Linked DNA regions of Coturnix japonica. The protein of the gene in region 1 purifies or fractionates together with the protein of each later gene. This does not show direct contact. Links are inferred from orthologs where the notes say so. Each region holds a gene or a part of one and is shown on either strand. Other genes may lie near its edges.

Region 1 (14,992 bases):
TTCAAATACTGCAAGCCACATCTCTCATGACTAAGGGAGATGTTCTCTTGGGTATTTGCCAGGTGTGAGTGGATCACGTCAGCAAGTTGGGGCTACTTTCACATTACAGGGAACTGCATTAGATCGAATAAAGGTCCCCTGCACTCACTTACAGACACCAAAATGCCCACACATAGATGCAGGCAAAGAATAGAAGCCTGTCACATGGGACGCAAATAGAGGTACAGAACTGAGCTCTGGGCTTGTGGCCTCAAATTCATCCACTGCCCTTCCAAAGAGACAATCAGATACTCACGAGAGACGCTGAAGCCGAAGATGTTCTCATAATCTTTAAACAGTTTCTTTATCAAAGTGCTCTTCCCTGCACCTGATGGGCCGCTCAGAACCACTGGTCTCGGTCCCTGCATGGCTACACAGACAAACAAACACATGGCTGGTTAGAAATAAGTAGAAAATATGGGTTTGAGCTCCCACTGGCATCTCAGATCCACAACTGCCTGTCCTTTAACATTCCATACAAGATAGTGGTGAAAAAATGTCAAATCATGAGAAATCAGAAGATGAGAGCTGATGGAAAACACTGAGGAGTGCAGCCTTGGGTTACATGGACCTCTCTGCAGTTGTTTCTTCAGACAGAAGGCAAAGACTGGGTGTTTTCATGCACCCTCTGGGGAGGGAGAACGGTTAATTATTAATATGTGAATTAGGAGGAAATTTCTGTAGTACAGTGCAGGTTTTTCTCTAGGGACTGTCATCCACCAGCAGCAAATGGGCAGCTTCTAATGCAGAGGTGATGCTAAGAGCAGGATGAACCCAACAGGTCTATTTTTCCTACTTACAACCCTTTCTCTTCTACAAGCAGTGAGGCCCCCAAAAGGCATCTCTTTATTCTAGCCCAAGGAGCGTTCAGCACACAGACAGCATAATGCCTTCCCACTTTAAATCAGATCATAGCAATGTCATCCTGACCTTGCAAATCACTTTTCAAAGAGCCTTAAGCCACACGCAACCTCTTACAAAAGCAGCTGCTGCCAGGGATGGTGTGGCTGGCTTATGTGGCTCTGCTGCCTACCTGACCCAAAGCAGGTCCCTCCTTATCCCCAGGTCCCTGCTGCACAGCTCTGTTACCTCACACACACCAATCAAGCAGCACTAAAGCCAGCAAATCACGAGCTCTCAGTGTTCCCTGCTATCCAAACCTGAACAAAAGGACAGATACACAAAGATGACACAGTCTGAGTGACATCTAATTCATACATGGCCACAAGAACAAGTTCAGTCATCAGCTGTCAAGGATCTGTTTTGTTGCTGCAGGATTAGTCCCACCATACATACATTACCATGCTGCTGAATGAGGCTCCATCACCCAAAAAGAAGAGAATTATAAACGATGAACAAATCCTTAGCAAGTCCTCTTGGGTACAGACCTTTGCTGTTCATCCCTGAGCCTCTGCTAAGCTGTAAATAGACCAGGTTTTCCCTAACTGCTCAATACAGAAAGCAAACACCTCCCCGCACCACCTCACCAAACTCCCATTCAGTGCCCAGAGCAGGGAAGCAATGCTGCTCTTGCTGGCTTTTCAGAGGCATCTCTGTCTCTTCTTGTTCCCCCCACCCATAAACCAGCAGTGGAGCATCACTGAACTGCTTGTGAAACGTTCCATAAGAGAAATACCCCACCCAATATACTGGTCTTCTCCTTCCCCTGGATACTTGCAACCATCTATCAGGCAAACAGGAATGTAAAGCTGCTCAAATCATTTGTGATTATTTCATCCAAGCCCAAGGAAAATGGGAAGGAATAAGAGAAACAGGCACGGTACCCATTGAGTGCTGCCTTCCAATGCACCCCTACCTTTTGCTTTTGCTCCCTCTCAGTCCGGCTCCTCGCAGTGGTGACAGGTTCTCAATCTGAGCAGGCAGACAGAGCTGAGCTATTTGTGAGCTGCCTAATTACCAAGCTGCAATTTTAAGACAGCCAATGGAAACTGCTCGCTGATCTTTAATCTCTTCTTGTGCTTTCTGCTCCACTCTCTGCTCTCCTGGCAGGTAAAATCACAGGCAAACACTGTTAACAAGTTGATGGGTGCCAGCACTTGCTGACACAGACAAAGCAGTGACCTAGCTTCATGTCCTCAGGGAATACCTGGTCTGGTCAGCCTCAACATATCACTCCAGCTTTTGTGTTTCTACAAGCCTCCTTTAAACCTACAACCTCCCAAATCCTCAGCAGACAGGACTAAGTTTCCTTCAAGTCTTGTATTGGAGGCTCGTGACCTCATAACTCACCCCTCCACCCGATAACAAACCCCTCCAATACCCAGTTTTCCTTCTCTGGATACCTGGATGTTAAGAATCTTGCACCTGTGGTGTTATTGAATTGAAAGCCCCCCCAACACACACCCCTTTGCTCAGATTTTGGCACTTCATTGATTTCCAAGCATGAAGCACAAAGCATCTCTCCTTTAAGAGTGGTTTTCAACCCAGCCTAACCACCACGGGTCCCCAAACCCACAGCAGTGTGGTTTTGCAGCTGCAGGTGAAGGCCGCATTGATGCTGTTGTGCCACAAACAAGAAGCACACAGGAAACCATCCCAAAGGCAGGGAACAAATCTCAGCCTGGTCCTGCTTGGTACAGCCACATTGAATTTCACCTGGCAGGTGGCAAGCAAAGCAGCACAAAGAGTTAACCACAAACAAAGCTGATTAGAAGAGAAGTCTTAAAGAGAAGGTAAACCACCCTACAAAGGAGAAAAGCAGCTTAAAGGACAGTCAGTCGGGAGCCCCAGCTAAAGGCTCCTGGATTAGGAATAAAATCCCATTCCCTATTTTTAGCATGTTCTCCACGAACTCCCAACTCCCCCTTTGTAACTTTTAGGACTGATTTCTTAACAGCTGCTGGAGCCACTCATTAACCAGGAGCCACAGGAACTATGTAGCAGGACACGGGGAATGGTTTTAAGTTAAAAGAGGGAAGATTTAGGGTTTTTGGATGTTAAGGCGGAACGTTCTTCACTCAGGAGAGTGGCTTAGGCCCCTCGGAACACGGCTGCACAGGGAGGTTGTGAATGCCCGCCGCTCGCTTGGAGGTGTTAGCCAGGTTGGACGGGGCCCTGGGCCACCTGATCTATGGGGTCCTCCTATGGGGATCTTATGGGGGTCCTATGGGGTCTTATGGGGTCCTATGGGGCATCTATGGGGTCTTATGGGATCTATGGGGTCCTGGGCAAACCTGATCTAGTAAATGTCTGGATGCTTTTGGTGCCTGCCCAGGCAGGGGGGTTTTGCAAAACTACATGATCCTTGAGGTTCCCTTTCAACCCAGGGTCATTCTGTGTGTGTAAGAAGCCAGAGCTCAGAGGTGAGTCTGCCTAACATGCCCTTGGGTTGTGGTTAATAAAAGGCACGGCTTGCTTTTACCCTTCCTCCAAACAGGTTTGCAGTGGCACGTTCTCCTGCCTTCATTAATTCTATACGGGGATTTCTCTGACCTGCAGCTGGCAATTCCTTCCTCCTTCACAAAGAAACACTGACAGGAGCTGAGCAGCAGCTGGTGGGCACAGCAAGCAACATTTTACCTGCAAATGATTACCACAAACCCACAAAGTGCTGATTTAGAAACACAGAACTGATGGGGTTGGAAAAGACCTTAAAGATCATCGAGTCCAACCGCAACCAAACCACCCTGCCCTAACTAACTAGCCTCTGCTCAAAATCCATACCCTGAGCACAACATCCATTCAACCAACTCAAGGATGGGATCTCAATCCCACTCCCTGTGTGGAAGAAAACCTCTATTCAATGATGTGATTGTTTGTGGTGGAGAGCTATGCGTTTTGCTGATATTAGGTGTGTTATTTGGAGAGGGGAAAGTAATAGAGTGTTGCGTCATTTTCAGCTCTCATCTCTCTAGATTTCTCTGAAACAGTCCCGCTAGGTCTTTGCTATGTCTCATAGGGCAACAATGTTCTCGTCTAAGCCCTTCTCGCGTGACTCTTTGTTGTCACTACTTCTTCGGACCCATGCTCCTAGTCATCTTGCTTGTTGTTACATGTTACTGAGGTTTGGCCTTGCAAAGGTCTTGTGGAGTTATTCACCTGCAGGGTCCACAGGTGAGGCGCCGTCACCAGCGTTTTTGATGACTTACTAAGTGTGGCAAGGATGACTTTCTCCTAAGCCGTGATTTGTTTGACGTGTGGTGAAACATTCCTGCATCCAAGCCCAGGAATGCCATGTGGGCCTTGTGCCTTGTGGCACACATGCAGGCCTCACATTCAGCTGGCCTCATCACTACACTCCCTGTGAGGTCGCTTACAGCTTTCAGCCCTCTGGCCTTCATAGTCCGCTCTGAGACGGGCAATGTATGCCTGAACTCTGCGTGCTCCCACCGACCCGAGGAGGCCTCAACCCCCCACCATTTTCACCTGCTCCTCGTGATACCCGACTCCCTCCCCGTCCGCTGCTCGTTGCCCTACCGCCCGTATCGCACACAGCACCGGCTCACGTGCCTCGCTCCGGGCGATGCCCCGCGCAGCCGCATCCAGCTCATGAGGGGGAGTACTGTGGGGAGGGGAGGCAAGCTTGGGAGGAGGAGCTCCGAGTCGCAGCGCGTCCTCGTCAGCACTGATGACGTCACGAGGGGCGCCAGGCGGGAAATAGCTGGGTGAGGTCACGTGAGTGGGGCAAACCATAAGGGCGGAGTGTGGGGGGGGACGGGGGGGAAAGACGTGGGTTTATTTCGTAAGAGGAAGAGTGAGGGACTCGAACAAGAGGAAGAGTTGTGATTTTGAAGCATCGCGTTGCCTGGTGTGTTGGTGGCGGGGATGGCGTGTTATGGTGTGTGGGGGGTGTCACAGCGCGCTGAACCATTGTGGGGTGTTTTGGGGGCCAAACCATTGCGGGGGTGTGGGGGGGGGCCATCTTGGGCAGGAGCGCTTGCAGGGGCGGGCGCCATCTTGAATCCGGTGTGAGGGGCGGGCGCCATCTTGAATCTGATGTGAGGGGTGGGCGCCATCTTGGGGCTGTCCCTGTGTTGTGGGGATGTCACCTCACGCCATCCATCCCCTGGTTCTGTTCTCAACCCTCCTTGTCCACAGGTTGTCCCCAAGTGGCAGCACCGCATCCCCTCGCATAGAGCTCAATGGCGGCTGTGTGGAGAGCGCTGAGGTGAGAGCGATGCTCGGCCATTGGGAGCCCCAGTGTGGGGTCTGAAGAGCGGGTTCATCACCTGCCCTGTGGTAATCAACCCTCACACACTCAGGAGATACACTATGTAGTTGGGGACACTATGTATTTTGGGGTAGTCCAGGCCCTGGTGCTTGGTGCTTTCCCACAGATCAAATTCAGGCAGGAAACTCTGTTCTCCAGTGTCCCATCTAATTAATGTGCCCTTCAAGGCCTCTTTGAAAACCCGTCCAAGGGCAGTTTGTTGGTTATCTGGATACCAAGTATTGCTCTGCTCTTGTGCTGTGAGACCTCACCTGGAATGCTGTGTGCAGATGGCAATGGGGCAGTGAGGCACAGGTTGCCCAAGGAGGCTGTGGATGCCCCATCCCTGCAGGCATTCAAGGCCAGGCTGGATGTGGCTCTGGGCAGCCTGGGCTGCTGGTTGGTGACCCTGCACACAGCAGGGGGTTGGAATAGGATGAGCATCATGGGCCTTTTCAACCCAGGCCATTCAATGATTCTATGATTCTGCAACCCTTACAGTTCCCTTCCAGCTCAAATAACGCTACAGCTCCATGACTGCTTTCCCTCTTGCAGTGCCCTGCAGCCCCGCTGCCTTCACACATCCTGCAGCCGCCACAACTCCAACCGCACCTCCATCACCCACCTCCGCCGCCAGGTGTTCGGCCGCCTCTACCCGCTGCTGCTGGTCCGCACCGACGGCTCCACCATCCACATCCGCTACAAGGAGCCCAAAAGGATCCTCATGGTAAGAGGTTCGACACAACAATGAGTGCACTCAGGGCTGTGCTTTGCTTTGGGTGCTGCAGCCTCACCCTCTGCCATCCCTCCCCCTGCAGCTGCCCCTGGATAGCAGCACGTTGCCCGAGGCTGAGCGCAAGGCCCGGCTGAGGCGGCAGTTCCCCAGCAAACTGCGGGTCAAGCAGGAGGAGACATTGGAGGAGCTGGATTTGGAGAAATACAAGAAATTCTGGAAGAAATAAAGCACCGATTTGGGGTCACCTCCCACCAAGGCCTCCTTACCGAGCTGACAGACGCAGCTATAGAAATAAAAGCCATTTTGTTAAGGATTTATTAGGGTTTTTAGGTGGTTTTGCCTCATTTTACGCCTGCTTTGGGCCGTTTCCCTCCCCCCTCCTCTTCTCCCCCTCCACGCTGCGGTGGTACCGTCCTCCACCCCTCCGGGCCCGGTGGTACCACCCGGGGAGGGGCTGCAGTGCGCGGGCCCCGCGGCCCGGAGAGGTGCGTGCCGTTGTTGGGGGGGGTCGGGCTTTGGGGGTCTCGGGTTCGGCCGTTTTCCCTTCCACCGTCTCTATGATCCCGGTGTGCGGCCCCGGTCCCCTCCCTCCCGTGCCCCCGAGCTGTGCAGCCCCCGTTGGGCTGTCCCAGCTCATACAGACACCCATTGCCAGTACAGGTAACCCCCCCCAACCCACTCAGACCTCCATTGCCAAGCTATGTGTCCCCTCTCTAACCTATGCAAGCCCATTGCCAGCCCGTGTGTCCCTAATGGGTCATGCAGTCGCCTTCCTCCAACCCACTACAGATCTCATGTCCAGGCTTTGCAGTCCCCCTCTACCCCAAACCCATTCAACCCTCCATCTCCAGACTCCAACCCCACTGATCATGTAACCCCCCCCCTCCCCAAAGCTGTGCACCCTCCTCCACCTCCAGACATTGTAGAATCCACCCCATACTTTACCCTTCCCCTCTATTCTTTACAACCCCCCCCCAGCCCCCACCACTAAGGCATCATCGTGACCCCTGCTTGATACCTAAAACCTCCTATGGCTTTAGGATTGCAATAGGGGGCACCTCCCTGCCCTCCTTCCTCATTGCACTGCAGGGGAACCCTTCATCTCCCTCATCCCACCACAATGCATTGCTGGGGTGGCCCTGTGCCTCCCCATTCCTCCTCCCATTGCCCTGCAGGGGCAGCCTGCTGTTCTGCCATGATAACAGGGCCCATCCTTTTAGCACCCCGTCACCATGTTCGGCTCATCCCGAGGAGGGGTCCGGGGGGGCCAGGACCAGTTCAGCTGGGAAGACGTCAAGACAGACAAACAGCGCGAGAACTACCTGGGTAAGGCCTTCATCCCCAGCCCTGCGTGTGGGGTGAAGATAAAGGACTGGGGATAATGTGGAGCTGTTGTATCCCTGCAGGAAACTCTTTGATGGCACCGGTGGGACGCTGGCAGAAGGGCAAGGACCTGACGTGGTACGCCAAGGGCAAGCAGGAGCCCACCCCGCTGTCCCGTGAGGAGGAGCTGGCGGCCGTGCGCCTGGCTGAGCAGGAGGCCATGATGGCAGCACTGTGAGCACCTCCCTACAAACCCCCTGTGACAACCCTCCCCAAAAATAGACAGTCTGAACTGTGGTGGGCATGGAACATCAGGCATAATGGAATCACGGGCATGGAACAGTGGGCATGATGGAATCACGGGCATGGAACATTGGGCATGATGGAATCACGGGCATGGAACGGTGGGCATGACGGAATGGTGGGTGTGGGATGGTGGGCATGATGGAATGGTAGGCTTGGAATGGTGGGCATGGAACACTGGGCATGGAACATTGGGCATGATGGAATGGTAGGCATGGAATATTGGGCATGATAGAATAATGGGCATGGAATAGTGGGCATGGAACAGTGGGCATGATGGAGTCATGAGCATGGAACATTGGGCATGATAGAATAATGGGCATGGAACGATGGGCATGCAACACTTGGCATGGAATCGTGGGCATGATGGAATGGTGGGCATAGAATGGTGAGCATGGAACATTGGGTATGATGGAGTGGTGAGCATGGGATGGTAGGTGTGGAACATTGGGCATGATGGAATAATGGGCATGGAATGGTGGGCATGGAACATTGAGTATGATGGAGTGGTGGGCATGGAATAGTGGGTATGGAACACTGGGCATGATGGAATGGTGGGCATGGAATGGTGGGTGTGGAATGGTGGGCATGGAACATTGAGTATGATGGAATGGTAGGCTTGGAATAGTGGGCATGGAACAGTGGGTATGGAATGGTGGGCATAGAGCATTGGGCATGTTGGAATAATGGGCATGGAATGGTGGGCATGGAACACTGGGCACGATGGAATCATGAGCATGGAACATTGGACATGGAATGGTAGGCATGATGGGATGGTGGGCATGAAATGGTGGGCATGGAACATTGGGCATGATGGAATGGTAGGCTTGGAATGGTGGGCGTAGAACATTGGGTATGATGGAATGGTGAGCTTTGAACACTGAGCATGATGGAATGGTGGGCATGGAACATTGGGCGTGGAATGGTGGGCATGATGGAATAGTGGGGATGGAATGGTGGGCATGGAACATTGGGTATGATGGAACATTGGCCATGATGGAATGGCGGGTATGATGGAATAATGGGCATGGAACACTGGGCATAATGGAATAATGGGCATGGAATGGTGGGCATGGAACATTGGGCATGGAATGGTGGGCATGGAATATTGGGTATAATGGAGTGGTAGGCGTGGAATGCTGAGCATGGAATGGTGGGCTCTCATACTCCAAAATGGGGTTTGGATGGTGCTGTGCAGAGCTGGGGTTTAGACTTGAGGATCCTTATGTGTCCATTCTGAATGGGGCCATGCTGTGACTGCCTGCTTCTGTCACTAGGGGCTACAAGAACGTGAAGAGGCAGCCCACAGGCCTCAGCAAGGAGGTGAGGCCATCCCCGCTGTCCCTATAGGCCAGGACATCCCCCGTGCTCTGTGTTCCTATGGGCTCTCAATGTTTTGCCCACAGGACCTGGCTGAGGTTTGCAAACGGGACAGCACAGAGCGAGCCGAGGACATGGACCGGGTGGTGGGCTTGGGCAGCTCCAGGTGAGCACTGAAATGCTGCATTTCAGAGCAGCTGTTTAAAAACAAAACACAACGTTTATGTTGGGTTTTATGGGTGTCATTTCTGCCCCCAGCGGCAGCGCCGGGCGGGTGATGCTCTCCAAGGAGGACAAGGAAGCGGCCAAGATGGGGCTCTCTGTCTTCACGGTACGTTGGGGTTGATCTGTGAGTTAATTTTAAAGGCAGAGGGACCTTTTATTTGGCCTGTGCCACTCAAAGCACTCACTCTGTGCTTTTCTCTCCCTATACTCCAGCACCAGAAGGTTTGCAGCAGTCCCGAGGCATCTGGATCCAAGAGGAAGCAGGACAAGGAGGAGAAGGAGGAGGAGAAGCGGTGAGGACTGTGATGCATCCCACACTGCCCAGCCCTGGTTGGTGGGTCGGAACCAGCCGGGAATGGCCCTGCTTTTCCTGGCAATATTGTGCTGAACCAAACAGTTTTGCATCCATTGCAGCTCGGTTTGGGCTTGTTCTGCTTCAGCCTGAATCCCTTTAAACCTCCGGGTCACCCTCAGAACTTCTTAACTTTTACTGTTTCTCCTTACTTAAGGAGCTCTGGTGAAGGCCCAGCAGGGCTGGGTGTTGGGTACAGGGGTTGGAGGGATTTTACAGCACGGGGACCCATCGGTGCTGCCCTATTCTGCTCCCACAGGACGGAGAGCAGCAAGAAATCCAAAAAGGAGAAGAAGAAAAAGAAAAAGAAGAAGCACAAGAAGGAGAAGAAAAAAGACAAACACCACAAACGAGACAACACCCCTTCATCCTCCTCCTCCTCCTCTCCAGACCAGGACGACAGGTAGTGTGCTCAGATGGGGGCACCCAGCAGGGCTGTGCCCACGGGGTGACGCCGTTCTGTCCCTACAGACGCCACCGGAGGAAAGGCCAGGACGAAGCATCGCGGCACCGGCACCGCAGACACTCGGGCTCCTCTCACAGCAGCGGAGCCTCGGGCAGGAGCCCGTCCTCTCACCGCCACCGACATCCATCACCGCGGCACAAGGGCAGCAGGAGGAGCAGGAGCCGATCTCCTCGATCCCACAGGGCCAGGCAGCGGCACGATATAGATTCGGATGACTGAGGGGGTTTTGCTGGAAGAGGTTCCATAGGTTCTATATATTTTTTAAGGTTGTTATCTAAATTAAAGTCACAGCTTTACAATTGCCGGGGCTGGATGTTGGGCACCAGCTGGTTGTTGGCTGTGTGTTACGATTTGGATGCTGTGTGTCACATCCCCTCTGTAGGATCTATGGGATGTAATTAACGATAGGGAGCACAAAGCTGTGTTGCTGTGATGGTGCTGCCGTCCCTCCCACCCAACACAGGCTGTTCTGTGTGTCCTGGCAGACAAACACCTCATGCAGGGACTGGTGTCACTTTGCACTCGGGCAGTTTTCAGGGTCTTCTGTTGGCCGAGGGGCTGTGACACCGCTCTGCCTGCAGCACACATTGAACAAGGGCTGCATTCATTGCAGTGGATGGGCTGGAATAAAGCCCTTCTGTCCCGTTCCCCTCTCAGCTGTGGGCATGTGCTTAACCCAGCTGGTGCGGGCAGCAGATGCTGCATGGACTCTTATTTCCCCTTGAGATGGTTTTTTTTTGGCAGGAGTTGATGCCCAGTGTGACCACAGTGTGAATCCTCTCCATCTGAGGGGCTGCAGCCCCATGTCCACACACCATCCATACAAATCCAGGCCTTCTCCATGAGCTCGCTGCTTTCAGGGTCACCTACTGCTGTTTTCAGGGGCCTGGGCAGTGAGCTGTACCTATTTCCTACCCCGATCCCATATCCTAAGGTTTGAGAAAGGGCTGTGAAGGATCCTCACCCCATCCCCTCCTCAGGGCTGAGCACCCATCCAGCCCGAGCTGCCACACAGGTTCCTGCAGGCAGGGAAGGATGGATGGCTAAAATCCCTGTGGGCCCGGCTGAGCCCAGGCCAGAATAAAGCTGGTGCTGCCTCAAAGGCTACTCCCGCATCTCACCCATCGCAGATAACATCATGTTCCCCATCTCTTCCTCCTTCCAGCACGGGCTGTATGACGTGCAACCCTCACACAGAGTTAATGTGGTGTCAGCTGTTGGTTAGTGCTGGAGCACAGCACAGCATCCACCTTCATGGAGGTGTGGGAGGAGAGAGGAGTTGGGAGCTCTGCAGAAAAGCCGGCCCTTCAGGTTCAGTCCCCTCCCAGAACAGGAATAAATAGATGCTCAGCTCGGCACGCACAGAGCCTGATTCAGAGCCTGATAGACAAGGTGAGACAAACAAACAGCTTGGAAAGAATAACCTGACTTACAAGGGTTTTGCAATCCCTTGTCACTGTTTGCTTAACACCGAGTACTACAAAGAGGAGCTCAGTGCAGGAGCAGAGCCCAGGCTCCAGCCACAAGGACATGAATAAGGTGAAGATGGGGCTACACATGAAGCCAACAGGGAGCGTAAAGGGATGATAGAGAACAAAACCAGTGCAAGTTTCATGAAACTTTTTATTCAACAAGTATCTCATTATGATTTTGCCAAGATGATCAAATGAACAGCAAGGCATAAAAAACATGAAATAGTTAAGAGATTTTTTTTATTCTAATAGCTTTAATTACAGTGCTCGTTTGTCGAAATGAAAACTGAAAACAAGTATACAAAACAGTTGATTACTAATCGTGTATTGAAAGCAATAAAGGTTTCCACAACACTAAACAAACCAGTTCTGATAGTTCCTCAAGTTAAAGTTGAACAGCTCCAGCTTCTTCAGTGTTTATCAAAATACAAAAGAAAAAAGTAAAGAGGTCTTTTGATTTCTGATGGCAAATCTGAACCTTGCAGTATGAGGGATGCCAAGGGTTTTCACACATATACAGATATGGGATCGAATACTTCTAGAGTGGAATGACTCTCCTAACTCTCATGCTCTTTGTATTCCCCTAGAGACTATACAGGATGTTTGGTGTTTCTCATGGCAATTCTTACTTCAGTACAGTACTTTCCGACTATAGAGCTTTAGGGCTTGGTGCAGGCTGTGCTTTCTGTGGGTAAGTTTTGCCTTCTGGAGTGGTTGACACACAAAAAAGTACAAAACACTTTGGACAAATAGAACAGGCTTAAAAAGGTGACTCCCAAGAACCGATCTGAGTTCGCTATGGATGCGATCAAATCTCACCCGAACCAAAAGGCGGAGGTTCAATAACTCACCTAAACCAGCTCAGACAGATCTCAGAGCAAGTAGGAACAAACGTGGGCTACAGGAAGAGCCAGAGATACGGTCGTTACAACCTGTGTTCAATGCAGCTCAACCTGGTCCCAACCGCTGCTTCACCGTTTGGAATCAGGAGCCAGCAGAGCTACAAGAGCAGAACTACAGCAAACCTTTGTGTCTTCAAGTGTTTGTTACTTTTCCTCGACTATTAAAAAAAAATAACCAAACAATCATCATCATCATCATACAATATTCAGGTTAAAAACCAACCACCAAAATGGAGCTCACAGATCTCACAACCCATCCGAGATAGAATTCAGCTCTACTGCACAAGGACCGCTGGCAACCCCTACGTTCAGCCACTCCATCCCTTCCAAGTACTTAAACAGTGAGTTGATTCTTTACAATAAAAAAAGCTGAGTAATATTGCATAGGAGTACCAGAAACTGCCTCATTGGAAACAAAAACTATTTACATTAAATAAGAAACCTAACTGTTTTCTGGCTTGTATTTGCCACATTTACAGCATGATGCAATATATACTGTGACAAAAAGAAATGAAAACAGCTTCCGGCACTCAATACCACAAAGTAGCACAGTTTGCCACATTAGAGTAAAGCGAAGGGCGAATAGGAGGAAATAAGAGGGAGGGGGGTGGAAAAAGAGGGAAGAGGAAGGTTTATGGTTTCATTTCTGGTTTCGGAGCTGATTGGACAACCAGTCCAGTCCTTCATAGAGCCCGTCTCCACTAGTGGCGCAGGTGGCCTGGATGTACCAGTTCCTGTGACGAAGAGAATGCAGTCCCAGTTTGTCTGTGATTTCTGCTGCATTCATGGCGTTGGGCAGGTCCTGCGGAGGAACAAGAGATGTTTGACTCACCTGCCAGCTGAGAAGCAACACCTGCCCTTCCTGACCTATCAGTTCTGACTGACCATCAGCTTCAGACCCCCTTTATTAAAGTTAGGAAGGATCAGAGTTACAGCTGATGTCCAGTTTCATTCACTTTTCATTCAGGAGCTGCAGCTCTGATTTGACCCCAGCTGTTATCAGCTCAGCGCTGCTTCTGTTCATACCCCTTCCTACATAAGGACTCATATCGCTTTTACTTCCCAAGTGAGCTGATAGAGCACCACGCTGTGCCTCCTTCCAGTTCACCCACAGAAGGAGCCTTTCAGGTATGAACACACACACATACACCTTCCTTTGGCGTACCTGTTTGTTAGCAAACACTAATAGAACAGCATCTCTAAGCTCATCTTCTGCCAGCATTCTCATCAGCTCTTCTCTGGCCTCGTTCACTCGTTCTCTGTCATTACTGTCAACCACAAAAATCAAACCTAGGAGAGAGCAGACAATAATCATTACAGCACGTGCTGCTTATATCTGGTACCTGGACATGAGAACGGAGCTGTGTTCTGAAGCCTGTGATGTAGGTGTTCACACTCACCTTGTGTGTTCTGGAAATAATGGCGCCAGAGTGGTCTGATCTTATCCTGGCCGCCTACATCCCACACCGTGAAGCTGATGTTCTTGTATTCTACTGTTTCCACATTGAAACCTGAAATAGAACAGGTCAACTGTGTTTATTTAATGTTCAGAGTCACTATTAAAAACATCACCTTGAAATTTAAGTCCCCTTTACATAAGCAGCCTTAAACTTGAGGGGCTCTGAACAGCCAAATATGGGCTGCCCAGCCCACAAGCAGCCCAACCCCAGAGCAAACAGTTGATATAGATATGAACGTCTTACCTATAGTAGGAATAGTAGTTACTATTTCACCCAGTTTAAGTTTGTACAAGATAGTTGTCTTCCCCGCAGCATCCAGCCCAACCATTAGAATCCTCATTTCTTTTTTGCCAAAAAGGCCTTTGAAGAGGTTAGCGAAAATATTTCCCATTTTGAGATATTCTTTCACTGGCCAGTGAAGTCTGCAGAAAGAGATGACAGTTATCACTTGTGAGTCACCAAAGGCTGTTTTCAGACCTGGGTACAACCAGCCACCAAAGAGGCACCAGATAATATAGAGCTGTGGAATCCCTGCCAGCTTAAGGTCTCACCACAAAGCACCTCTTTACCTGGTTTTAAACGCATGCTCACGTCTTCAATGTTCAGTTGTTCCTTCTTTTGAGAAGGAAACTGAGAGCCTGGATTGGATTCACTTCTACTCAGCACAGCTTCCTTCCTCCTGAAACCTCTGGGAGTGGGCAGTGAGCACAACGGCACACAAAGCAGCAATATTCCATTCACTGACACTGGAGAACTTCTTTACGGAACTAATGATATCTCCAAACCTTCAATACCAGAAATGACAGGGTTTCTCCCTTCACTTTGGACATTCAGAAGGGATCAACAGCTTCAAGAGCTGGGGTCACCACCATGAGGTTCTCTTGGAAGGTGCTGCAGCCCCAGTGCTGCTCTTCCACAAGGCCCTGCCATCACACACCTTAGCACTGCAGTCACCAAGAGCCATTATTCTGCCTGCATGAGATGCACAAAGCAGCCTGGAAGCTGTCGGATGTGGCTGGGGCTGTTACACGCTTCTACTGCGGCTTTGTCTAGCAACGCTGATGTAAGTTTGAAACAAAGAAATCAAGTCCAGCTGAAAAACCAAGCTTAAGGCAACAGGCGCATACAGAGCCAGGCCATGTAACGTTCAGGGGTTGGGTTTCCTGCAAACCTAGTCATAATTCAAGTATGAGCTCTGAATCAGCTCTCAGAGCTGCTCTGTGC
Region 2 (15,274 bases), on another chromosome or scaffold:
GCTGGAAAACCCACAGCTCTTGAAAGCTGCCTTGTTTCAAACCAGCCTTAGTTCCAGCATCCCCTCTGCCCTCAGCCACTGCCTGCCCCTCCACCTGGTGGTGCAGGGCTGCTGTGGGCAGGGTGCTGGTGTATGGGCAGCCCGGCCAGCACAGCATTGAGTTACAGTCAGGCCCCCGCAGGAATGCAGGGCCCTGCCAGCGTGACCCGTTCAGATATCCCAACCAACATTAGGAGCCATTGGCCATCTTTAAACCAGATAGGTCAAGTTAATGTCACAGCACAGCTTTGCCAGTAGGAAGGTTTCTGGAGTGCTTCCTGGGGGAGATAGCCGGGTTTGCTTTTCCTGTTTGTCCTGTATTTTTCCATTCCTTTGTTCAGCCGCTCCTTCCCTCAGTTCAGCACTGATTGGAGTTGGGAAGGCACCAGGTTTGGGATATTGGAGGGCAGTGGGGAAGCCCCAGTGGGCCAACTTTTCCCTGGGCTGCTCAGATGGCCTCTAGGGGTTGTTTGAAGACCCTGCCTGCTACAGGATGAGCCAGTGAATAGAAAGAGACCTCTGGAGAGCAGGCAGCGCTCGATGAAAAGCCTGAGCAGCAGCAGCAACTTGTCTGGGCACCCAGCAAGTCTTCTCAGCCTAAAGATCTGGTTCTGATCAAGCTGCTTGTGCCTGCCATGCGAGTAAAGAACATGACTCCTTGCACCAGCTCCCTGCAAGGAAACTCAGTAAGCCACGGCTGTGCTTGGAGACAAGAGAAGCAGATTCAGGAGTGGAGCACAGAGATTTATTTTACAAGCCTATGAGGAGTGACCCCAAAGGGCGCCCGCCTGTGAGCTGACCCGAAATGCAAACCCGCTGTTCACAGCATCAGCAGGCAGGCGCTGGGCTCGCAGCTGATCCGCTGTAATCCATAGGCTCTAGGAAAACAATCTAACACATCCTTATCATTAAATACTCGTGTGAGAGCTCGGGAGCCACTTGTATCCCTGTTCCTGCTTTGTAGCTGCAGCAGAGTTTTGCTGGCAGCACTCAGTGCTGTTTGCTGAGGGAGAGCAAAGCGTGGCAGCTGGCTGCAGCCCTGCATGTTTGTGCCTCCCTTGCTCCTATGCAGCCCTCTTCCTTAAGACACATTCATTTCCAAGCTGCCATAAGCAGGATGAGCACAGAACATGCAAGGCACAGTCGAGAGCCCAGAAGGTATTTTGGGGTTGGTTAAAAGGTGATTTCTGTGTTCAGCTGCTCTGTGCCCAAGGGTGAATCTGAGCTGCTGCAGTGGGGCTGCAGTGTAACGAGGGGCTGTCAGCAGCAGAGGGCACTGACAGTGACAGCAGCATGTGGCTGACATGGATGGGACCAAAAATGATACTTGCGTGTAGAGTAAAGCAACTTAGAGATGTGTTCTTTTCTCCCTGGATAAAGGAAGGGATTCTTTGTTCTGATCTTTTGAAGTCAGTGGGACGGTTTCTTTTATTATCCCAAACTACAAAGCCCCAAACGCTCACCACCTGGGGATCAGTGTCTGTGTTTCCAAGTTCTGTGAAGCTTCAAATGCCATTTGGCCTCATTTCTTTTCCCAGTTCATCTTCTTCTCTCTATGCTGTGGCTGCTGAGTTTGTCGTCGTTCCTCCGTGTGCATGTCAGCCATGCCAGTGGTGTCTTTTGGAAGGATGAGCAGTGGCTGTTCTTTGCACTTTCACCCAAACTCTGGAGCATGCAGTGCCAATTTTTGGGTCTCTGAATGTTGCTTTTTTAAGGAAAAAAAGATCTGAGAAGGACTTTGCTCGGGATGTGGTTGCACAGCAGCATAACTGAAGGACTCACTCTGGATGGGATGGAGACCACTTTGCTGGGTGCAGCAGCTGAAGGCAACTGAGAGCAAAAGGGCTCCAGCTCTGCTCCTGTGGTGCCCGTGGTCTTGATTGAAGTGATGGGGGAAAGCCCCAGGGCTTCCTGCTCTTCTCTCAGAGCAAAGGGACAGGTGAAGGAGGCACCCACCTGAGGTTGTTATTCTTTTTTGTTTGTTTTGTTTTGTTTCTGAACAGGAGAGAACCACTCCTCCTGGAAGCACTGAGAATATTGTGGAAGAGATTGGTGAGTTGGGCCAAACTCTGAGATTGTGCTTTTGCCATTTCAACCAGAAGTGATGGGGTGAAACACTCCTGGCTTTGCCCTCTCGTGCATGAACATCTGTACTTCCAGCCAACTGTTCAGGCTCCTTCCTCGTTAGTGCTCAGAGTCCAGTTGTGAGTGCTGTGCAGTATCTGGTAGGCACAGGGGGTGTTGCTGATTTCTAAACCAAAGTTTATCTTGTCCCCATACAAAGAGGCCCTTCCTTCCTGTGGAAGTGGTGAGATCACAAGTTGAGTCCTCAGTGGGCAGATCTGGTTAAATGAAGGAGGGCTTCCCACAATGGGCCGCGTGGGGTTCGTGCTTGTCTCAGCCCTTCAACAACCTGTGGGTTCCCAACCAGCCCTCAAAAACATGCAGTCGACACCTACCTTTGGTGGCAGCTTCTGGAAGCTTTAGATGTTTTGCTACTATCATCCACAAAAATGTTTTGTTGTTTGTTTTTTAACAACATGAAATAACTAAATCCATGTTTTGTTTTAGAAGAAATCTTATGTCGCTGAGAGAAAAGCATTTATCAGTACCAATATATTATTAGTGCAGATGCTGTTCTTACAAGGAAAATATTGAAACCTTTTCACCTCCAAACCTACTTTGGCCTCCTTCACCTCCCCCTGGGTTTGGTTGTTCCCCCTTTAGCGTTAGTAGGAAAACACAGTGGGTGATTCGCACTGGACGCCTGCACTTGGCATCCCACCTGTTTGTGTTCTAGAAAGATGCAGTCACTTGTGAATACCAGCGTTGCCTGTTGAACCATTTAAATACTTAAATAGGTATACTAGTCCTATTGTGAGCATCCTTGCAAACGCTTACCTTTGGTCTGCAGCATCTCTAGAGATGGATCCTCATATCCCAAGGAGCCCCTCACCAAAAGCTTACTGCAAAGCCGGCTCTCCAACCAGCTGGGCCATGTGTTGAATGACTTGAGCAGCTTGCCAGCAATTTAGTATTGTGTGTGTTAAAGGGAAGGAAGCCCTCATAATTTTAATTTCCTCTGCTTTATCGCACACGGGTGAAGCCACTTCACCCACTTCCTTCCTCCTCATGTAAACCCTGCAGATTTATGTTTGGAAAGCTCAGCTTATTTATATACAGACTTAAGTCACCTGCACACGCATTTAACACAGTAACTGTGTGTGCACCATCTGACAGTGGTGAAATGTGTGTGCGACACACAAAGCACAGGCACAGATTTGCAGCTCACCAGTGAGCCAGGAGGAGACAGAACAGCAACGCACTGATGGCAGCTCTCCAAAAAGGGGCCCATTTCTGGCCATTCTGTTTTGTGCTTTTCTGTTCTGCCTGAACCGATGTGAGAAACAGAGCAGGTGAGGCACTTCCCAGGAAAGCAGGAAAGACAACTTCAGGTGCTGGAGGAGGGTGTGCTGCACTCATCAAGCCAGATGTATTGGCCAGCATGAAGAAGAAGAGAGGCCAGTGATGTGGCCATGGAGCCATTTGGTGACCATTCCTCTGTGCGCACATAAGGACAGTGAGCGTGCTGGAAGCCAATGAGTCCCCAGCTCTGCCTGCGTGGGGCCAGATAAAATATGGCTGCAGAAACCCCTTCTGGTTCTTGGAGAGGGTGTGGGATGTGATCTCCCTGTGCTGTGCAGTGATTGTGATTTCAGGAGGTCAATGTGCTGGGTTTCCAAATGTACCACCCCACTGGAAAATCATAATCAAGCTGGAGAGGATAGAGGTATTTTCAGCCAAGGATAAGGGTCAGTACAGCATTTACATGGGATGCAGCACTAGAGTCAGCCATTCTTAACCTCCTTAGCCCCACCAGCAGCTATTGCCACACAAACCTCTGCAGGGCCTGCTGAAGACTTCAAGGAGCTTATCAACAGAGCTGTGTCTCTCTTTGTCCTGCTTCCAGAACAAGCGGTTCAGGAGACGGTAGACACAGATCCCTATGCGAGGAGAAGACAGCACCCGACTGCTTCCAGGAGATACCGTGAGGGTCACTGGTAAAGACAGCTCTCCGTGCGCACCCCTGTTTTGGTTGTAGCATTCCTTGCAACCTCCTTCCTTTGTTTTCTTGCTCTCCTGGGCTCTGTTTCTGCTAAGCTCAGATGTGTCCTCGAGGGGTTGGGGTGACAGGAGAGCTGCTGGCATCTCCTGGTGTTGTTGGTGGCTCCTATTGCAGGAGAGGAGCTGCAGGAGTGGGCGAGGGAAAGGTGATGTTGTGAGAATGGGGGATGTGGGGGAACACAGAATAGTCCTGGGATATTTCTCCTCCTTTGATGTGTGGCAGGAGCCCAGGCCACACAGGAGGAGAAGAACTGAAGGGCAGGTGGCACCATTTCCTTCCTTGATGTGGGCCAGTGAAGAAAGGTTTTCATGAGTGACCTGAATTGCTTGGCATGTCAGCAAGGGTTCCCATCACTCACTCTGTGTCCTGTCTGGGGAAATGCAGTGGAAATGGAGGGGTCTTTCCCAGTGCAATGCCTCTGGGTGGCAGCTGAGCCCCTGATGGCACCCAGCATCTGGCCAGCATCCTGCTGGGCTGCAATGGCCATGCAAGGCACTGCAGCTTGGTCTGCCTTGTCTGAGCTGTCCTCCGTTGCTGTGCAGACATGCTGGGAGTTGTGCTCTGGGTACAAATAGGAAAGGCTTCATTACTGTGGCAGAGCCACTGCACGCAGGCTCATCCCTCAGTGTCTGCCATGCAGATGGACCAGAGCTGAATGGACTGAGAGTGGGCTCAGCCCTAAATTTGCCATGACCCAGGTGGTGGGATGGGGAGTAATCACACCTATGGGAGCCCCAGGTGTGCTCTCACTGTCTGTACAGCTTCCTGGCCACTTTGGGTAAAATAGGAGAGCAATGTGGATAATAGCTTTGTGCAAACAAGAGAAGAGTGTGACCTTGTACTGTTCAGCCACTAAAAAGCACCTGCTTGGGTTTCTTTTTTTCTCCTCTGTTTCATTACTCAACATTTAGATGCACTCAGAGAACACTTCTGTCATCCACAGCTTGGGGGAGCTCGGTTTTGCACAGCCACACTCCATTGTCGTGCAGTTTGTGGTGCACTACCTGTATGCAATATATTGTATCATATGCAGCATGTGTGTATGGTATGCATGTGTAATGATACAGTTTAGCCTTGTTTTGGCTCTGCAAAGTAAGCCACCCCAAATCCTCTGTCAGGGCAATTTAGAGCTGACATAGAGCCCCTGAGCATCAGGTTATCTTGACAGCTGAAGTAACCTTCCTTAGGCACACCAAGTATCTGCCAGTTTATAATTAGAGCTTTCCTTGGCAGCTGCACCAGTGCAACGTCAGCTCAGAGGAAGGTGGGGAGAGTGGAGGAGGCTCTTGGTGCCTCCCAGCACACTGCAGAAAAGGCATTCAGAGAGCCCACCTCCAGGAGGCAGTGAGCTGGGAAGAGGACGTCTCTTTCTATCAGGGCTTCTGATTTGCTCATTCAGGTTGCTGATTTGCTCATCTGCACTGCCACAGCTCAGCCCTTGTCTTATTCATTCAGGTGTTAAGTCCAGCTTGGGACACTGAAGCCATTTGGGTTTTACACCCATGCAAATAAGATGAGAGTTCAGGCTGGAGCTGTCAGTGTACAAAGAGCTGTGCAACCAAGCAGGCAAAGAGCAACCCAGTGGGGTTCTGGCTCTGTCCCCTTCCCATCCCCAGTATGGCAGTCAGGACAGAGCACTACCCCAGCCAAGCAGTGGGATGCTGCCAGCAGGTTCTCACTTTGCTCCCCATGATCTGAGCTGCCACGTCCTTAGGCTATGATATATCAGTAGGTCTCACCTGCAATCTCTGGGCTAAGGACCATTGCTCTGCTCTAGCAAGCATCCTCCCTGCAAGGGTGGTTCCATTGGTTTGTTTCTGCTTTCACTTCAGGATGCAATTGTTTTCCCCTCAGTAACTGCATGTTTTTTTTCTGTTCCTTTCCTGCAGGCGTGAAACAGCCAGCCAGCCTGAGACCGACAGCACTTAGAGCAGTTGCTGGTACGTGTCCCTCCCCTCGCTGCCCATTGCCTACAGCTCCATTGTGGGGTTAGGTGGCCACAGCTTGTGACACCCCTCTGCTGTGGTCATTACATGTGAATGTAACAGAAACAGAAATTTACCTCTATAGCCATTGCTGTCATCTGCCTTGAAGTGAATCTAGCCCTGCAGTGGGGGTTTGCTCCTGGGGAGCAGTTTAAGTGCCCACCAGCAGTGCCTGGTCCCATCAGAGCTGCCCCTGAGAAGAAGCAGAGCCCACCCTCAGCAGTGGCCTTGCTGGGTTTGCCTTCCCACCAGGACGTGGCCCACCAGCACGTGCTCCTGCTCCTCCTCCTGCAGTCTCTGTGTGCTTCCTCTGTTTCTGGGTACCAACTTAAGTCCAGCCTCACTCTCTCTCCTTCTGTTCCCCAACAGCTCCGGTTTCCATGGCGTGTGGTGGCAGCTTGCAGAACTTAGCAGCATTGCAGCCTTCCTGGAGGAGACCTGGAGTGAATCAAGGGGTTTGGTGGGGGAGGGAGGGGTCAGGGCATCTTTATGGCATACCCGGGTGAGGGGAGGAGGAATACTCAACATTGCAGTTCCACTTTAGATAGGGCAAAGAGCTTGCCCTGTGCTGAGGCCAGGTCAGGTACGTTTGTTGTTTCTTGAGAATAAACACTCCATCTTGTTTGTAGAGCTGCAGTGTTGATCTAATCAGGAATTCACTGGCAGCATCCAGCACAGCTGCTGGGGCTGGCAGGCATTGCCCTGCACCAAGAGAAAAAAGCAATGCCTAAAAACAGAAGGCAGAATCTCAAGAAGCACCAAATGATTTGGCCTGGCCAGTTTCTTTTTGACTTAGGCACTGCAATAAGTGCCTGTTTCGGGTACCTTGCAGAATGCAAAGCTATTCCAGGACCTGAGGACATCGATAGCTGGCAGCTGCCTGGCTTGACCCTTCTGGCTGAACTGAGATGGGGTTTGCACACACACTGACACCGGGGGCTGGCAGCACGTAGCTCCATCAGGGGGTGCCGGGCAGAAGCTGTTGCCTGCTGCTTCAGTTCAATATCTGCAGATTCAGAGAGGAGCCAGTGAGTGTTGGGGCTTTGGAGGGTTTTCCCTCTCCAAAGCCCTCTCCCATATGGCAGAACTTGAAAGTCAGAGAAGTTGGATGTGACCAGTGACACTGGGAGACAATGACAGAGGCTCAGTGGGGAAGAAGAGTAAACAGTAGGTAGAAATGCTTTGGGTGCTGATCTGTAACCCACTAAACCCCATCCACTGGCTTTTCAGTCCCTTCTTTGCAATGTAAAGGCTGCCCCGAAGGCCTTGCAGCGCTCCCTCATCTGCTGCGAGTGCTTAACATCCTTGTGCTTCAGTCCCTGTGATATTTAGTAATTTAGTCTGCCAGGAAAAATAGAAAAAAACACCCCTACAGATCTCACAGTTGACAGCCATTCCAGCCAGCAATGGGGGAAGGAAAAAAGCTGAAGTGGACAAATAGTGAGGATTTCCTCGGGATTCATCTAGAATGGATGCAGATGAGCAGCATAAAGGTGCTGGAAATAGCCTCTAAGCAGACAATGGCTGCCAGGGTCGCCCTGTGAGTGGTGCTGCCCTTCCAGGCAGACTCCTGGCAGCACACACAGCCTGCAGCTCCTGTAGCTCTGCCCCAGCTCACCCAGTCTTCCTAAGGCCCAACATTTAATCCTAAGGGTGGGAAGCGTGTCCTCACTGGGGCTGCAAACTCCAGCCTGAATACTTCACCTTGCCCCTCGGATGAGCACATAACCCCTCACCCAAGCAGCAAATGCCTGACATCTCTCAGCCTACAAGGGACAGGCCAGCAGCCCTGAAAGCGCTTTGCTGGAAGCAGCACGGAAGTCTCCAGCTTCAGGAGGGCAGTGCATGTTAGACTTGCTTGCGGAAGTAGCTTTAGAAGCAGCACACGCAGCAGCCTGCGCTGTAGAAGTAGCAGTAAAATGAAAAGATCCTGTGAACACAGGGAGGAGCTCAGAGATGCCTCTGCTGCAGCACATACACGGCTGAGCACAGCTCAGCACAGCTGGGTGCTGGCACAGGCTGGGGACAGCCAACAACCTCACACCTCCCATGGCCATCCAGGCACCGGCAGTTGGGTACCCTGGCCTTGCTTCAGGGTGCCTGGAAGTCTTCCCAAGGCAGCCTCCAGCAGCACGTGTCTGTGTGCACAGCAGAGTCAGCCCGTTCCTTGTATGAACCATGCGTGATCGGAGCAAAACCAATAAACACTGAGCTCTTAGTGCCTCCTGCCTGCTGGAACTGCTGACCTGAGCCTCTGTGCTTCACCTCCCCACGTCCCCTCCCACTCATTCCATGTCCCTGGTGGCACCTTGGCCGCCTCCACGCAGCCTTGGCTGCGCACAGTGCCCATGTCACCAGTGGGACGTGGTGCAGTGTCTGTCACCTCAGCCATGATGTGGAATTACCAACAGCAACAAGTACAAAACCACGACACCCCCCAAAGCAGTGGGAGCTCAAAGCTTTCCCCTCGTGCTGTGGCCCATTAAACATCATTAACTATGAGCGTAAATCCGCTTCTCCCACCCCAGTGTCATCCCCAGAAGCGCTGGCACTTGGTCTGCTGTCCCATGCAGCATCTCAGCTGAACCTCCATCTGTTGTATTCTCTGGGGGGCTGGTGGCCATTCCAAAGCTGCACCCACACCCACTGAGATCTTATTTCCTTTAAGAGCCAGTTCAGCCCTTGCTGTGCTCTGCTGGAGCAATAGGGAAAGGCTCACGTCCAGCTGCTGACACTGAGAGCCAGCTATGCATTGGGAAGGTCACCATTCGTCAGGAGCCATCACGGACATGATGAGGCGGACATGGCGGTGCCCATAACGGCACGGGCCGCCCACAGACCGTGACAGCAGGACAACATGGATCCCCTGCCCGGCCCCTTTAAGGCGCCCACCTCCCCTCCTCCCCCCTGGTGACGTCATCACTGCTCGCCACACGTTCGCTCTTCCCGCTCGTTCTGCGCCAATCGCGCGCGCCGGGCCCGGAGCGCTGAGAGCGCCGAGGATGTGAGTGTGTTGGGGCTGAGCGCCGTGCGGCCATCGGCCGCCATCGGCCTTTCATCCGCCTCCATCCGCCTCCATCCGCCCCGCCGCCGCTTCGGGGCGGCACCGCCGCATCTCGGGGCTGCCCAGGGGAGCGGGCGGGAGCCGACGGAGGGGATATGGATGGACGCGGGGGATAGGGATGGCGCCGCGGCCTACCGGGGGCGGGGAGGAAGGCGGGAGGCCGGGCCGGGGCGGAGCCGGGGCTGAGGCCTGCAGCGGAGTTGGGGCCTGGTGGTCCCGGCGCCCGGCAGCGGCAGAGCAGCGAGTCGGGAGCGACCCGCGGGTCTCGCTGTGCCCGGCGTCGTTCCGCAGCCTGAGAGCGGCTGAGCCCCGGCCGCTCTGGGCCCCGCGCTGCCATGAGCTGGGCCGGGGGCGTTGAGAGGAGCTGCCGAGCGGGCTGACCTTAAATCACGCGAGGAAAACTTTGCTATAGTTGTTGTTCATATAACTATAAACAAGCTGCCGTTGCAGGGCGCGCCTGCCCTGCAGGAAGGCTGAGGGAGAGCCCAGGTCGTTGCCTTGGCTGCAGCTCTCTGTAAGAATAGGTCTCATAGCTGACTGTGTGCAGGGAATGGGCAGCTTAATAGAGTGCCCCGAGGCCGGCTGGGCTGGGCTGGGTGCTGCACAGACACTGAGATGTTGGGGATGTCGGGTTTGGTTTCCATTCTTGGAAGGGTGGATGTTGCTTAGAAGTTCCTTGTGTTGTTTTAATGTGCTCATGCTGCGGTGTTATTCTTTATGGAGGTGTGTTTTAGTGAATGCCTGAGCACCTACAAGTGAAAGTGCCCAGAGGCTGCATCTCCCAGGCTGATCTTTCCAACTAAAACTGTCCTGGGAAAGGTCTGTGTTCATTGGGTGAAAGAAGAACACTGGTTACCTTAAGGGCTGCCTAAAAGCAGCCTTTCACAGGAGGTTGCTGGATGTGTAAGCAGCATTTGGCTGTTTAGTCTGGTAAGTGCCAGCCCTGTGGGTGCACACAGGAGTGCTGCTGATGGTGCTGTTTACATGCAGCTCTTCCCAGCTCTCCAGCAGCAGGCAGGACATTAGCAAAGCACTTGTTGGGCTTCTGAGCTCTCACTTCCCATCTTGCAGAGAGGTGGAACTGGGTGATCATTAGAGTATGTGATAGATGCAGCCCTCTCATAGGAAATGTTTGGAATTGAGCTGTCAGAGTTCAGGTTTTACATGTAAACAGTTAATAGTTACACATGCAGCACACTGGCACACACGTTCATTCTCTTCCAATAACTCATTAATGTATGTTCGTGTTCCTCTGGGCATGCACAGTTACACTGAGGGTGGTTGCTGGTTGTATGCCCACTTACTTTGTCCCCATTTTTCCACCATCAGTTCCATCACTGACATTTTTGATTCACCTGGAGCTGGTTTTCCCCAATTTTGCAAACGTCCATTGCTTCTTAGGCCATAATGGGCAACTTCCAAAACAACGTGTGTGGAAATCCAAGGAAAGCGTCCTTGCCCCTGGTGAAATACAATGACCAGTGGTCTGTCGTGACTCCAGTGCTGCTTATGAAGGGGAATTGAGAGAAAACAAGGCTGATCACACACCAGGCAAAGCAGAAGTGGAGAGTTTTAGGACTAGTGCTCATTGATTCCTTTTGCTGAATTAATATATTGCTCCTCAAACTAATATACTGATCTCTGTTGCTCAATGAACCAGCCTATATTGTTACTCAGCAGCCATCTCTTCCTGCCAAGCATGTGCTTTGCTGCACAGGGTGACTATGGAAGAAACCAGAGCTTCCTCTGGAGATGAGGATGTTGTCAAGAGGCAGGAGCTGCATGTGTGCCGTGTGTAGGAGATGAATGTCCTCTGTGTGCCTTCAAGGGGAGCACATAGCGAGGGTCTTTTGTACTTCTGTGAATATCACAATTTGTAACTTTAAACACGCATACAGGTCTGTATTCCATGAAGGTTGAGCTGGCCCAGGGGCTGGATGTAACTGCCATGCAGTGCTGTGCCTGGCTGCAGTGCCCTGGAGAACACACTTGTCCTCTGGTGTGCTGCCACTGGTGCACAGCAGCTCTGCTCTTCTGTGTCTGTTCATCTTGTTTCTGAACACTCTTACCTTGTCACTTGGCTGCTCTGTTGCTTTCAATTAGGGGTCACTTCTCAGAAGCAAGGGGTTAGAACTGAGATTTGGCACAAGTGAGGCCTGTTTTGCTTTGGATACCTCTGAAGGGGAAACAGAGTTAATGGGAATTAAAAAGAAGAGTTTGCTGGGTCTTAAAGAAAATAACAAAAAATCCAGCACTAGGTAATCATTCCAGATTTTCAAGGCCTGCTGGAAGCGGGGATGCTGTAGGGTACTGGGGCTTTCCCAGTGAGGGTAAGGAGTTGAAAATATCTCTGTGGGTGAACTTACACATGACAGTAAGTTCTGTGTGCTGGACCTGCTGTCCGCAAAGCTGCTACTCTGCAATGTAACACATTTTCCTTTTTCCTAAAAAGCTCGAACTTACCTAATGCTTTAACTCTGCTCTTTTGGTGTCTTCAATTACATTTAAAGTTCAGTGTTTTGTGTTGCTGTTCTGTTCCTTGTTTGAGTGTGTTTTCCATATTAAACAATCCCTTCTGCCATGTATTCTTGAAGGGCTCCCTCACCAACCAAACGCAAGGATAGGTCTGAAGAGAAATCAAAGGACCGATCCAAGGACAAAGCAGCCACTAAGGAATCGGGTGAAAAGGATCGTGGTCGGGACAAGACGCGCAAAAGGCGCAGTGCTTCCAGTGGGAGTAGCAGCACCAGGTAGCTACCATTACAGGCAGTAACAAATACATGTTTTCAGAGCCACCTTTTGCTGACTTCCACACGGCTCAGATTTACACAACCTTTGAATTGCATTGGTCACAATGGAAAGATTAAAGGAAGGGGTTTTGACCGTTGTGAAGTATGGTGGAATTAGTGAGCTATGGAGAGTCGGTTTTCATTGCTGTAACTTGCAGTTGCTTTCTGTCTACCAGGAGAAGAGCTTCAGCCATTCTTTTTCTGGGTATTCCACTCATGTTTTGCTTCCTTTACCAGGTCCCGCTCCAGCTCCACTTCCAGCTCAGGATCCAGTTCCAGCACTGGTTCCAGCAGTGGCTCGAGCTCCTCTTCTGCCTCAAGCCGCTCTGGGAGCTCCAGCACCTCACGCAGTTCAAGTTCCAGCAGCTCCTCTGGATCCCCCAGTCCGTCCCGACGGAGACATGACAACAGGAGGCGGTCCCGCTCCAAGTGAGTTCATGTTGTCTTTAGGAATTCCTACAGAGCAGGTTCCTTGTGCAATACAAGGTTGTGATCAAACAGATTTTTACCAAGGATGGTCTGCATTCTCCGTAACTTAGAGATGTGAATTTTGTTAGAACAGGCATGTTTCTATTAATGGCAGTCAAAATGGATGCCAGCTTCTAGTTCTTGTCGTCTTGTTTCCCCTGAAAACTGTGAATGTTTTCATGTCCAAATCAGGTCCAAGCCACCGAAGAGAGATGAAAAGGAGCGGAAGCGGCGCAGCCCATCACCCAGACCTACAAAAGTGCACGTTGGGAGGCTCACTAGAAACGTCACCAAGGTAATGGCATGTTCTCCTGTAATGCCACGCAGGTGCACCCCTGTGGGCGTGTGTTGGTGGCTTTTTTTAAAGCCTTCAAGGTTTGTTTTGTTGCTGGTGTACTGCCAGCACATTGCTGTTGGAAATGCTTGCTTTGTGTCCAAACTGATGAGCGTGGAATGCTTCAGTAGAACTTCCTCAAGTCAAATTAACTGTGGGCTTGTGTAATTCAGTAGTGTTAAAAGTTCTGTCTGCCTTATTGGTACCCGAGAGCTCCACCTTCCTAGGAAGAAAGCTGTAGAAGTCAGTACAGCAGTAGAAATCACCTGGGAGGCATTAAGGACACCTGGGGGGTTCACCAAAAGGAGCTTCAGGAGAGCTGGACTGGCTGGAGTTGTCTTTGCTAGAATGTAGTTTAAAGGTCTGCAGAAATACAAGTTTAGGGTGCTGAAAAAATGCTATTTAAAAACACAATATTAAGAATTGCACCTTAAGACTTTCTAAGTGAGGACACAACTTCACTTTCCTAAGGTCCCCAGGAAGGTTTTTACACTAGTGCAGCTTTTGTAGCCTGTGGTGGTGTTCAGCCAGTAATTCTGTTAAGGATTAGAGTGATCTGAAGTGAAACAGACATAGATGTCAGTAGAGGATGTGGTAATCTCAGTGTCCTTTCCACACCTGATCAGTGGAATATATCTCCTGCAGGTGGCATTGATTCAAAGCTGATGTGGTGCTGTGTGCTCTGTACCAGCCAGAGCTGCTCAGTGATAGTGCTGTACATCCTTAAGTTCTGCTCTTTTTTGGCAGGATCACATCATGGAAATTTTTTCCACTTATGGAAAGATTAAAATGATTGACATGCCAGTTGACAGGCTAAATCCACACCTCTCTAAAGGCTACGCTTATGTGGAGTTTGAGAACCCAGATGATGCTGAGAAAGCCCTGAAACACATGGATGGAGGTAGGTGTCAAATGCTGCAAGGAGGCTGAGTGCTTTGAAAGAAGTTTTTGGATTTGATGTGAAAATGAGATGGAGATGATGGGCTGCCTTTTGGGGAACTGATCTGACGTGCTGTCATTCTGTTTTCAGCCCAGAGGGGCTTTTGTATGGTCTCAGGACAGGTTGAAAAGAAAATACAGAACTATTAAAATGATAGTTTTGTTTTTTTTTTCCAAACAAAATATCATTTAAATCTTTGTGAAAATCCTTCCTGATCCATGTCTGGTGGGATACTTGGTGAAGAAGTCTGGTGTGTGTGTGGTTTGGTCAGTATAACTTCAGAGTGTAGTGGAAATAGGAGCACGGGGTCGTGCTGCTTGTGTCAGAGCTGTGAATCGCTGTCACTTGGTTTGTTGGTGCTGGCAAACACTAACTTTATTTTTGTGACTTTCTGAACAGGGCAGATCGATGGGCAGGAGATCACTGCCACAGCTGTACTGGCACCACGGCCCAGACCGCCGCCTCGGCGCTTCAGCCCCCCCAGGAGGATGCTGCCCCCACCCCCCATGTGGCGCAGGTCACCCCCTCGCATGAGGAGAAGGTGAGAGCTGTGGCATTTCTTATTTCCTTCTTGTTGTAACAAGAATTTGTCATGAAGTCCCAGTGCCAGGACAGCTTCGTCTCATTGGAGTTGATTGTCCACTCCAAATGACAGTTCAAAACAAAGCAGTCACCTTCTGGGTGTCAGTTGAACTCAGATTGTTCTTAATATTCCATTCCTGGGACCTTGGTGTCACACTGGTGGCTGTACAGACTAATTGTAGCACTTTATCTTTAGAGCTGAGCTTCCTGTGAGAAGTGTCTGTGGTGCTGTGTGAGCTGTGTCAATACTGAACAATATTTCAGGAGCCAAAGTCTCAGATGAACCTTTCAGATCGAGGAGAGTCTGACTTAGAACAAACTTGTTTGTTTTGTGTGAAGCAGAAAATAAGATTCTTGTCTATTCTTTGGATATGAAGCAGCCTTTCAAGCTGTGAAGCAGAGGGTGGTAGCTAGAAAATCCCTGCTGGGATCTTGCTGTTTAAGTTGCCCTTTTGCTTCCTGCGGTTTGCTGTCTGTCGGATCTTTCACAGTGGTTTATAAGGGGGCGAAAGGAATCAATGAGCAGAGGTGGCAGGTGAGGTGACCTTCCTGGAGCTGCTCCCTGTGCCCTGACAGGAACTTTCTCCTCCTCCTGCCAGGTCTCGCTCCCCGCGCCGCAGGTCTCCTGTTCGCCGGCGCTCGCGGTCCAGGTCTCCGGGACGAAGGCGCCACCGCAGCCGCTCCAGCTCCAACTCGTCACGATAAAGCAAAAAAAGAATGGACAGCTTTTTATTTTTTAACTTAAATTCCGCGAAAATAAATATTGTACCTTTTTTATAATGGGTCTAGGAGAGGAAGGGAGAGAGGGGGAGAGAGAGGATGCAGTGGAGGTAACAGAGAGGAGACGGCAGCAGCTCCCGGCCATTGGGCAGCCTCTGCTGCGGGGCTTGGAAGTTTCCTGGCATTGAATTGGCATTATTGACAAACAGCCTCGATTTTTATGTTTT

The links.
Region 2: the proteins of C2H1orf35 (region 1) and RNPS1 purify together in Homo sapiens (co-immunoprecipitation; 3 studies listed by BioGRID and IntAct, with this or other methods). This does not show direct contact. The link is inferred for Coturnix japonica from reciprocal best matches to the Homo sapiens genes C1orf35 and RNPS1.

What each region holds. Positions count from the first base shown.
Region 1 is NC_029517.1:2,065,483-2,080,474, forward strand, and holds C2H1orf35 (multiple myeloma tumor-associated protein 2), read left to right. Parts: upstream 1-6,329; 5' UTR 6,330-6,430; intron 6,431-6,454; exon of another isoform or gene 6,455-6,605; intron 6,606-7,165; 5' UTR 7,166-7,177; coding exon 7,178-7,271; intron 7,272-7,351; coding exon 7,352-7,502; intron 7,503-8,848; coding exon 8,849-8,894; intron 8,895-8,977; coding exon 8,978-9,057; intron 9,058-9,149; coding exon 9,150-9,222; intron 9,223-9,329; coding exon 9,330-9,409; intron 9,410-9,727; coding exon 9,728-9,871; intron 9,872-9,939; coding exon 9,940-10,153; 3' UTR 10,154-10,290; downstream 10,291-14,992. Other genes in the region: GUK1 (guanylate kinase), read right to left, coding at 296-407; MRPL55 (39S ribosomal protein L55, mitochondrial), read left to right, coding at 5,142-5,167, 5,765-5,936, 6,028-6,171; ARF1 (ADP-ribosylation factor 1), read right to left, coding at 12,949-13,110, 13,474-13,598, 13,709-13,819, 14,012-14,159.
Region 2 is NC_029529.1:12,006,644-12,021,917, reverse strand, and holds the start of RNPS1 (RNA-binding protein with serine-rich domain 1), read left to right. Parts: upstream 1-8,969; 5' UTR 8,970-9,152; coding exon 9,153-9,154; intron 9,155-11,808; coding exon 11,809-11,964; intron 11,965-12,240; coding exon 12,241-12,432; intron 12,433-12,663; coding exon 12,664-12,766; intron 12,767-13,552; coding exon 13,553-13,706; intron 13,707-14,144; coding exon 14,145-14,286; intron 14,287-14,926; coding exon 14,927-15,032; 3' UTR 15,033-15,274. UniProt on the Homo sapiens protein: Part of pre- and post-splicing multiprotein mRNP complexes. Auxiliary component of the splicing-dependent multiprotein exon junction complex (EJC) deposited at splice junction on mRNAs.